Linked DNA regions of Arabidopsis thaliana. The protein of the gene in region 1 interacts with the protein of each later gene in a pairwise test. Each region holds a gene or a part of one and is shown in the gene's direction. Other genes may lie near its edges.

What was found.
Region 2: the proteins of CRK11 (region 1) and AT5G14020 interact in a protein complementation assay, tested with the Arabidopsis thaliana proteins (one large-scale study listed by BioGRID).

The regions. Positions count from the first base shown.
Region 1 is NC_003075.7:12,140,355-12,145,716, reverse strand, and holds CRK11 (cysteine-rich RLK (RECEPTOR-like protein kinase) 11), read left to right. Parts: upstream 1-1,883; 5' UTR 1,884-2,006; coding exon 2,007-2,850; intron 2,851-2,932; coding exon 2,933-3,064; intron 3,065-3,171; coding exon 3,172-3,293; intron 3,294-3,381; coding exon 3,382-3,592; intron 3,593-3,671; coding exon 3,672-3,909; intron 3,910-3,983; coding exon 3,984-4,143; coding exon of another isoform or gene 4,144-4,185; exon of another isoform or gene 4,186-4,223; coding exon 4,224-4,520; 3' UTR 4,521-4,818; downstream 4,819-5,362. Other genes in the region: CRK12 (cysteine-rich RLK (RECEPTOR-like protein kinase) 12), read left to right, coding at 17-337; CRK10 (cysteine-rich RLK (RECEPTOR-like protein kinase) 10), read right to left, coding at 4,937-5,254, 5,331-5,362.
Region 2 is NC_003076.8:4,522,867-4,528,128, reverse strand, and holds AT5G14020 (Endosomal targeting BRO1-like domain-containing protein), read left to right. Parts: upstream 1-1,961; 5' UTR 1,962-2,309; coding exon 2,310-2,514; intron 2,515-2,589; coding exon 2,590-2,664; intron 2,665-2,742; coding exon 2,743-2,804; intron 2,805-2,903; coding exon 2,904-3,054; intron 3,055-3,135; coding exon 3,136-3,232; intron 3,233-3,307; coding exon 3,308-3,374; intron 3,375-3,467; coding exon 3,468-3,566; intron 3,567-3,689; coding exon 3,690-3,782; coding exon of another isoform or gene 3,783-3,812; exon of another isoform or gene 3,813-3,892; coding exon 3,893-4,047; coding exon of another isoform or gene 4,048-4,090; exon of another isoform or gene 4,091-4,115; coding exon 4,116-4,220; intron 4,221-4,302; coding exon 4,303-4,399; 3' UTR 4,400-4,708; downstream 4,709-5,262. Other genes in the region: AT5G14030 (translocon-associated protein beta (TRAPB) family protein), read right to left, coding at 88-93, 230-301, 470-578, 663-761, 1,070-1,251.

The DNA.
Region 1 (5,362 bases):
TTACATTGTTGTACAGGTTTGGAGGTTGTGGACAAACGGATCACCATTAGAGCTCGTGGATCTAACCATATCAGAGAATTGTCAAACAGAAGAAGTTATAAGATGCATCCACATCGCACTCCTATGTGTTCAAGAAGATCCTAAAGATCGTCCCAACTTGTCAACAATCATGATGATGCTCACTAACAGTTCCCTCATTTTATCTGTTCCTCAACCACCTGGATTCTTTGTTCCGCAAAACAAAGAACGTGATAGCTTTTTGTCGAGCCAATTTACAATGGGATGTACTTCTCAGACTAAAAATGATGTAACCATTACAAATCTAGATCCTCGTTGAAGTTGCTGTTCCAATTGACAAATTGGAATTGTTACTGAAAACAACGCAGATTCCACATGTGAGGTATTATTTCACTTGAAAATGAAATGTGATGATCCATAGTTATGTAAGATTTGTGAGTCACTCAAAGTTATTTTTCATACAAACTCTTTATCATTTCTACATTGTAACATTGGTTTGTTGTATTGAAGATTTCTGATACGAATGGCTTCAAAATTTTATAAACATACCAATTCATGTATAGTAGTAACGCAAATGTTGTTATGCATGTAAAAAAGCTCTGTAAATTAGACGGATTCGGTTTGGCTTTACCGGTAGACGAATTTCTACGAATATTTACCCAAACCGGTTTATTTACTAAACCTATACCATATGAACCGGAAACCAAACGCTATTACCGACTTTTCTTCTTCACTCTCTTCGTCGGAATCAGCCTTTGCGCATTCTTCTGAGCTCGGATTTAGGGTTTAGCATTCTGGTTCTAATGGCGTTTAATGATATTGATTATCGGATTTGTTTGTGCTCTTTTGTTAGATTTTGATGTGTTTAATGGCATAATCACGATTTAGCTAAGGGCTCCGGGCCAACTGCGTTTTCCGGTGGGAAATGTAATCCGTCTCCGATGCTTATTTGGGGTAAGAGAGCAAACATGGGATAATACTGCATCAATTTGATAGACCTCTATCACTAATCTGTTGTGTCCTTATTTATAAGCTTTGGTAAATATGTGTGTTCATGATTTGATGATTAAATTATGTACAGCCAGCTTTGGAGGTCGAGCCAGTCTGCAAACAGGCCCACTTCCCAAACTATCAATGATGTAACCATTACAGATCTGGAACCTCGTTGAAGATAATTGAAACAGTCAGAAGCCATGTTTAGGTGTTTTATCTGTTTGTAGACTGGCTCGAAGTTATAAACAAACTCTATCAATGTCTACACTGTAATATCAGCCCTTTGTTATGAAATATTTTGCATTCTATTTGGACTCAATTGTTGCTGTTGTTACTCACACTAGTGGTTCGTTGCTACTCTGTTTCAGCCAATTACGACATGTTCTTCTGGTTTCGGCGTGATTCATATGTACGCATTCTTACATGACTCAACCCAAGAGACACTGATTAGGCTATAAATTGAGACGAACAGAACACAACGAAAAAAGGTATGCTAATCTTCTGTTTTTTTCTTTTAGGCTTTTACAATGCTTTGATTGCCAAATGTATATGTATAGTCTGGGAATGTGCTGAGCAGCCTATGACAAAAGCCGGTTTATTTGTGAAATTAATGACACTGACACTTTAGCCCAATACTTTTCTTGTTCCTCTCCATCTGCCTCTGCGTCACTGGGTTTGATTCTATGAATACTTTATCCTTTATGTCATTATCTGAGTCAACATTCCAATCAATATTCAACAACCCCCTTATTATATAATGTGAACAAAGAAAATATTATTGACTTTTAGCTTTTGACATTGACTTTGACTTTTGACACTCGTTTTCGTGACCATATTTGTAGGTTTCAGGACCACTGTCATCAATTTGACGAATTCAATATTTGAAAATTTTGGAGAGAAGCTTCGATTTTGCTTGTTTAAACTGGTAAGAAACGTACAGATGCGTCAAACACTAAACACAAAGATCTAGCTTTTGCTTTAATCTTCAAGAAACAATGAAGCAGAGGAGTTTGTTTTCAGTCCTCTGTTTTTTCTTCATAAGTTTTGGTGTTGCTTCAGTTTCAGCACAAACATGCACGACGGACAAGGGGACTTTCAGACCCAACGGTACTTACGACGTAAATCGCCGTCTCATCCTCTCTTCTCTTCCTTCAAATGTCACGGACCAAGACGGCTTATACTACAACGGTTCCATAGGACAACAACCGAACCGTGTCTACGCAATAGGGATGTGCATCCCAGGATCAACTTCAGAAGACTGTTCTGATTGTATCAAGAAAGAGTCTGAATTTTTTTTAAAGAATTGTCCTAACCAAACAGAGGCGTATTCATGGCCAGGTGAGCCAACGCTTTGCTATGTGCGCTACTCCAACACTTCTTTCTCAGGATCTGCTGATCTGAACCCGCGAAATTGGCTCACCAACACTGGAGACCTAGACTCAAATCTAACAGAGTTTACGAAAATATGGGAAGGATTAATGGGTCGTATGATTTCTGCAGCTTCCACAGCAAAAAGCACACCTTCTTCAAGTGATAACCATTACTCAGCTGATTCAGCAGTCTTGACACCTCTCCTGAATATATATGCATTGATGCAATGCACGCCGGATCTTTCCTCCGGTGATTGTGAAAACTGTCTGCGACAAAGCGCAATTGACTATCAGTCGTGCTGTAGCCAGAAGCGAGGAGGTGTTGTTATGCGGCCAAGCTGCTTTTTGCGGTGGGATTTGTATACATATTCTAACGCTTTTGATAATCTTACGGTGGCTTCTCCTCCTCCAGAACCTCCTGTGACTGTGCCACAACCTGCAGGTGATCAGGACAACCCGACCAACAATGGTTAGTCTTCCACCTGAGAAAACTATCATTGTAACAAAAAAACTTAAATATATGACATTGTTTTTCTATGTGTTGTGAGAAGATAGCAAAGGAATCTCAGCTGGAGTTGTTGTGGCGATCACCGTTCCCACTGTTATTGCCATCTTGATACTGCTGGTTTTAGGATTTGTTCTTTTCCGGAGAAGAAAATCCTACCAAAGAACTAAGACTGAATGTTAGTTTCTTTGTGTTTTACCTCTTTATTGTTTCCTTTCGTTATCAGCATGTATACTCCCGTAGCCAAGACGGGAAACACGAAACTAATACACCCATTCTTTGCAGCTGAAAGTGATATTTCAACTACAGATTCATTGGTATACGATTTTAAGACAATTGAAGCCGCAACTAACAAGTTTTCAACAAGTAATAAGCTTGGTGAAGGTGGATTCGGTGCGGTTTACAAGGTAACAAGGTCTCTGTTTTCCATTTTTTCTAAGTTCATATTGGTTTATGGAAATAACCAACAATGTTTGTTTCATTCATTGTACGTAGGGTAAGCTTTCTAACGGAACTGATGTAGCTGTGAAGCGACTGTCGAAAAAGTCAGGACAAGGCACAAGGGAGTTCAGGAACGAGGCTGTTCTTGTGACAAAACTTCAACATAGGAATCTGGTTAGACTTCTTGGATTCTGTTTGGAAAGAGAGGAACAGATTCTGATCTATGAATTTGTCCACAACAAAAGCCTTGACTACTTTCTTTTCGGTATGGTTCCTGTCAATAATTTTTCTTATTCAAAGGATCCTGCTTCAGCTTTATACTGATTGATTGTCGATATGTGCAGACCCGGAAAAGCAAAGTCAGCTAGACTGGACCCGGCGATACAAGATCATTGGAGGAATTGCTCGAGGGATTCTATATCTTCATCAAGATTCACGGCTCAAAATCATACATCGTGACCTCAAAGCCAGCAACATTCTCTTAGATGCAGACATGAACCCAAAAATTGCAGATTTTGGATTGGCAACTATTTTTGGAGTGGAGCAAACTCAAGGAAACACGAACAGAATTGCTGGAACCTAGTAAGTTCTGCTCGTAGTAGCTGAACACTAAACCATTTTCTATTGCATATTAACCCGTGTTGTATGTTTTTCAGCGCTTACATGTCTCCCGAGTATGCGATGCATGGTCAATACTCCATGAAATCTGACATTTATAGCTTTGGAGTCTTAGTTCTTGAGATTATAAGCGGCAAGAAAAACAGCGGCGTCTACCAGATGGATGAAACTAGTACTGCAGGAAACTTGGTCACTTATGTGAGCATAAAGTCCTCAACTTTCAACAATTTAACATTTTAAAACATATGACCAAGGTACTTAATTGTTCATTGTATTAGGCTTCGAGGCTTTGGAGAAACAAGTCACCATTAGAGCTGGTGGATCCAACTTTTGGAAGGAATTATCAGAGTAATGAAGTCACTAGGTGCATCCATATCGCGCTGTTATGTGTTCAAGAAAATCCAGAAGACCGTCCAATGTTATCAACAATCATCTTAATGCTGACTAGTAACACAATTACTCTACCAGTGCCTCGCCTACCGGGATTTTTCCCACGAAGCAGGCAACTGAAACTGGTATCTGAAGGATCAGAGTCTGATCAGTATACAAGCAAGTCTTCCTCATTTAGTTCGTAAAAATTGATGTGGTTCCTCATCATAGCTTAAAAGTTGTAACAGAAAAATGGTCAGATGACATTTATATTATTTGTCCACGGACATAAGAAACATAGCAGGTTTATCTGTAATTGTATGTTGTACAGTGTCCACTGTAAAATGCTTATGAACAGTTCACAGTTCTTTAAGAATCGTTTCTCGATTACTGGTTTTACTCTCTTCATGCTGAATCAAATTACCTGCTAGATCGTTGTGTAAGCTTAATTTGGAGGGAAAAGTCACTGTTACGTCTTCATGGAGAAACGTGTAAATGGTATATATCTTATACTTGCTTGTGGTTACAATTACAATACAAACATTCTATAACAAAAGAAGTTTTTAACTTATTTTCAACACCAATAGATTCAGGAATCAGGTATGAAGGGAAAAACTCATCATCATCGAGGATGTATATCTGTGATGGATGCATCGTCAACAGACCCTAGAAGAGATTTGCTCGTTGTATCTGTATCAAGCGGGTCTTTTCCAATTCTACTCTGAAAGAAAAGACCGGGTTGCCGTGGCACGGGTAAAGTCACAGTGTTACTAGTGAGCATCAGAACAATGGTTGACAACGTCGGACGCTCAGCAGGATCTTCTTGAACACATAAAAGACCGATATGGACACATCGAACAACTTCATTCCTTTGGCAATTTTCTACAATAGCTGGATCCACGAGTTCTAATGGTCGCCCGTTACTCCAAAGCCCCCAAGCCTAGAATATTATTCAATCAATCAACACTTGCAACTATGTTCAGGTAAATATGGAACTTGATAGGTTTAAAACTTACATATGAGACCAAGTCATGTGCACCATCTGTTT
Region 2 (5,262 bases), on another chromosome or scaffold:
ACAATTGAAACACGGTAATATGAGAAACTGATATATATTTGATGATTTCACTGGGAAGTGAGAATTACACATCGGTCATTGAGTTACCTTGGCCTGAGATTATTTTGGCAGCATCAAGAGCAACATCCAAGACACAACAGAAGATAGCAATGAAAGTCAATATTGAGAAGAAAAGAAAAAAACTCTGACTAGATGATTGAAAGAATAGTCCTTAGAAGGTCAAATTTACCACGTCCAAAGGTTTCGTTGGAGGTTTGTCTGCGAGGATATCTAGAGGTAGTAGTGGAGTTGAGTATGCTTCCTACAAACAATAAAACCATAATACACGATTACATCACAAAACCAAATATTTAGTAAAATAACGGCCACAACAACAGAAAGTAATTCTGATTAGAAAGATTAATTGGGGAGGTTTATTGCTTCAACCAGTTCCAAGAACTAGAATGAAGGGAGCTTAAAAATGGCAAACCTGAAGAGCTGGCTTAGTGGGGATGCGGAAAGTAACGACAGCAGGAGCACCGTAGAAGACTCCTTTAACCTTGGCCTCCAATTCGATAGAATGAGACAGAATACCTCCTCTGCACAGCAAATATTAGATTAGTGACGAGAGTAAAAGCTAAAGCAGGCCAATATAAGATTTTATGATTGAGGAAGAAACTCACGCATCAAGTCTTTCCCATGATTTTGAAGTGTTTCCATTAACAACTTCAAAAGTCTTTTTATCCCAGCTATTATCTGTCAGAGTCACATCATACGCCGACCTGAGAGCAAACACCACAAATATCTGACGCTTTTAGCTGACATTCATTAAAAATCTCAAAGTCATCGTAGCCGGCAGATACAAAATTCACAAACCAAATCCAAAATTCCGATAAACAATGAGATCAGATCAAATGGCGTTTCGTTTAACTGATACGCATACGGTAGATCTAATGATAGCTCAAGCATAATCTCCTAATTCTACATTGACCAATCTCTCCATGCAATCAGAAATTAACACGGATCGGAAATGAAAATGGAGAAATCAAACGGATTCGGGAAATAACTAGATGAAGGATAGAGAACTAACGAGGATCCTTGGTTATAGATGTCGTAGGAAACGGAGACGCGTTCGGCGCCAGATTTGAGCCTGTTGAGAGTGGCTTTCTTGTGAACCACCATGAACGGCACTTCCGAGGTCGCGAACGAAGCAGAAACAAGCATGAAAACCGCCATGGCGGAGATCAGAAGCTTAGCTACAGCGACGGCCATGGTTTGCGATCTACGACGATGTAGGTGTTTAAGCAGATGCGGAAATAGATCTACGAATGTTTTCTTCAGCTCAAGAAACCTCCGACGACGATATTAATCACCACCACCACCACCCATTAACAAAAAAAGTCAATGATGGGCCCAATTGTTTTTCACCTGATAATGGGCCTACTTATAAAAGCCCATTCTAATAATAAAGTGTATTAATATACCGTCCAAATTAAAGAAGGGAAGTGTGTTTGCACTTGCAGTAGAACAATGAAGATAACACAGCCTGTCTCCTGCCACAATCTAACATGTTTCTTTTCCCACACCACATTTCGATTGGATCCAAATATTCTCTAATACTTTTATAATCATAGATGACTTTGTCTATTAATTATCTCGTCTAATTATAAAGTCTACTTAAGATGTAATAGCCAACGATTCATATCATTCAAAAGACATATTGACTCGAATCAATGGAGGTTTTGTTACCATAATCTCATTTTCATTTCTAACAATCTTTTGGTTGGAGTAAGAAAAGAGGGTAAAAACTGATAAAGTTGATTTGATTCAATTAATCAAGGTGGCGGGAAAGTTAAGGAAAGAAGTCAACGAGGAAGGAAGTACTAAAACTAAAACAGGAGAGCCAATAAAAAGTAGGCAAGTGGGTGGGGACATAGAATAAGAATTCACAGCTACCCGTAAGAAACATAATTAAAACTTGGATTAAACCGAAAGGCATGTGATTTTCCTTTGTTGGTTAACTAAATCACGTATATCTATCGTTGAATATAAGAGCATGTGGAGGGATTTGCATCGAACTCTGAAACCTGAGTAAATCTTCTCTTCCCATCATCACATGCTTACTTATCTCTTCTGGTTAGCTCTCTGAGATTCTCTCTTCCAGATTGTTCTTTTTATATTTTACTTAGAGCTTCAAAATTAATCCGGATCTATCTGCTTCAGGTTGTTCCAAAACATCCTTATTTTGACATATATATATGTCAATGTTGTGTAGGATGATTTTGTGAGCAAAAGATCATAGCAGAGAGAGAGAGAGAGAGAAAGAGAGCATGGGGTGTGCTCAATCTACTATTGCTGTTGTGGGAAGGAAGAACAAGAAGAGGATCATTCAAGAATCTGTAGTGTTTGTTCTACAGTTCCGTGTTCCTGTTCAGTCTGATCTTCAGCGCCAACTCAAAGGTGTTTCTCCCAAGACAACCATCAATCGGTTGACATGTTTAAGAAATCAGATTGAGTTGGTAGCTGAGGACACAGGTATAGAGAAATTAGACCAACTTCTTCCTCTTTTCTTGCGTGTCAAGACATAAGGTTCCATCTTTTCTACTGCAGGGGGTTCAGCCATCTCTGAGTTGCGTACAGCTTTGGAGGAGTACTTGTCACTTCTATCCGGTCTTATCAAGAAAAGTTCGTGTTTGCAAGTTTTGATTAACTTAAACAGTTTAGTATATTCAAATGGTGATATTAGAATATTTAACTCTACAGGTAAAGATGGAATGGAGGGCTGCGTAGAGCTCAAATGGAGGACCCTTGGCGATGGTCGACGAGTAAGTTCGGTTTTTGCTTAAATTAAGCTGATCCTAAGGATATTCATTTTGTTTGTTCTAGTATCATTAAAATCTTAACAATGTGAAGGGTGTATACAGGCAGAGATATGTTGCACAAACCTTTGGATGGAGATGTTGATAGTGATCCACATGATGGCTGCTTTGGCATTGACTGAAGCTAACTCTCTCATGATTCCAAAGGATTGCTATGCTTCTGGTTCTGGCAATGGCGTCCGTGTGGTCTCCACTGGTGTGGCCTCGTTGACTTTCACACTTTTATTTTAATTTATTGTGTTTACAAAAAACTAATTAACCTGTCACTTTCAAACAGATTGCAGGAGAGATGCGGTTGACTTGCTGCTCAAGGCATCTGGATACTTGGAGTTCTGCGTCCGAGAGATTCTGACTCAACTTCCTCATGATATAAAGTATGAAGCACAAATACATAAATTCTAGGATCACATTAATACTTACATATCTGAAAATTTGCTATATGTATGCAGGAGTAAGTTGCCAGATGATATGCAGGAAAGTGTATTACAAACTCTCTCTATACAAGCACTAGGCCAGGTTACACACATGCTTACTTTGAAACTGTGACTCCTAAACCTGAATCTTGTATATATGTTTTCAATTTGTAAGTTTGGTTGAATCTCACTGCAGGGAACTGAGATTCAACTTGGATTAGCAGTTGATAGTCAGAAAGCAACATTGTCTGTGAAGAGGAGAATTGCATGTGAGCAAGTCATCTACTTCACTCAGGTCCTCCTCATAGTTTAACAATCTTCAGCTTCTTATAACTGTGGCATGCTTTCGGGGCAATCATATGTCTTTTCTCTGTTTTAATTATTAATTTGCTATAAAATGATCTCATTATCATTTCAGGCATATCACTGCTTGTCTAGTTGTGAAGCAGTTAGCCATGGATGCGCCAAGAAACTTCTCCGGTTTATCTACTGGAAGTTTCTGGAAGCAAAGGTATTGTATGTGTATGTAAGCTATTGTTGAGAGTGATCCGATATATATTCATCTCTATTGTTCTTTCATAAAATATATCTCTCTATTATGTTCTGCTTTTTTCTTAACAGGCTGCAGCATACTACTACCATGGACTGGTAACAGACAAGGGAAGTGAGCCGGCTTGTCACTTGAGCGCTGTGTGTTGTTTCCTTGCAGCTGCAGAGATCCTAGGAGAAAGCAAAAAAGCCTGTCTTAGCTTCTGCTTAGCTCCTCCTGTCACAAGGTTTGTGTTGTTGTATGATATCCTACATGTGAATTATGAATGATTCAGAATTATTTTGTATCTATCAGGGCTCCTCCTATGTGGGGTGTTATGAAGCATTTGAGCCAGAAGATTCCAGAAGTTGCTTTTAGAAAGTCGCAGACATATGGATACTTGCTTGAAGAAGAAGAAAAGTAAGTCGTTAAGAGTGTTTTCTTTTTTTGCGTTTGTTTTAACGAATCAAACAAGATAGGTGATGATATGATAAAACCACAGGGCAATGCAGTGTTTGCCAGAGCTTCCAGACTTTCAGTTGTCATTGAGACCCGACGACTTTGAACTGCCTGAAATAGAGGATGTCTCTTCCTCATGAAACCAAACCCATTTGCTTAGAGAACATCTTGAGTTCTTGACTACTAGCTACTCATGTTGATGATGATGACCTTGATCGTTGAGAAAGAAGCACTCTCTCTACACATATTCTTTGGGTATTTTACCACTTATAATTGTAATGTAATATTTTGTATTCTTGTCAGACAAAATCTGATACTTGAGTATAGAGTAATGTAATATCTGGGTGATTACTTATCTTCCTTGATAAAGAATTTGGAAGGACTAGAAGAGAAAGAAAAAAAACAGCTGCTAATTAATAAAGGAAGCGTTTAGCTATGTTGGAGAAGAAATGTTGTTGTGTGAGGAGCTAAAAAACGGCCCGCATTTTAAATTGGAAACAGCAGGATAACCGCAACGTCACGTGAGTTAGTCACGTGTAAGTGATGATGACATGTTCGATTCCACACGTACAATAAAAGAAGTGGTTGTTGTGTGAGGCGCTTGGAAACGGCACGCAGTTTAGTAGTCTTAATTTGGAAAAAAGCGGAAAAAGCAGAATAACAATAACGTCACGTGTGGGATGATGATGAGATGTTGGATTCCGCACGTACCAACTTTGTAGAGGCGGTAAGGGATTTTGACGGCGGTAGTGCTAATGATCTCCGACACAGACATGATCGGATTTTTTAATCTCCCAATTAAGGTGACGGCGATGAATGATAAAACGCAAAAACATTCCGATTATCACTCGTAACGGTGATGATCGTTAATTCATCAAAATCTGCTGTTTTTTTTGTTCTTCCAAAAATGCATCATCCATGAAAGATAAAAGTATCATCAGAAACTTAAAATCGAAACGATCATCATCATCGTCATAAGTAATATCCAAAAAAGGTAGCAGCT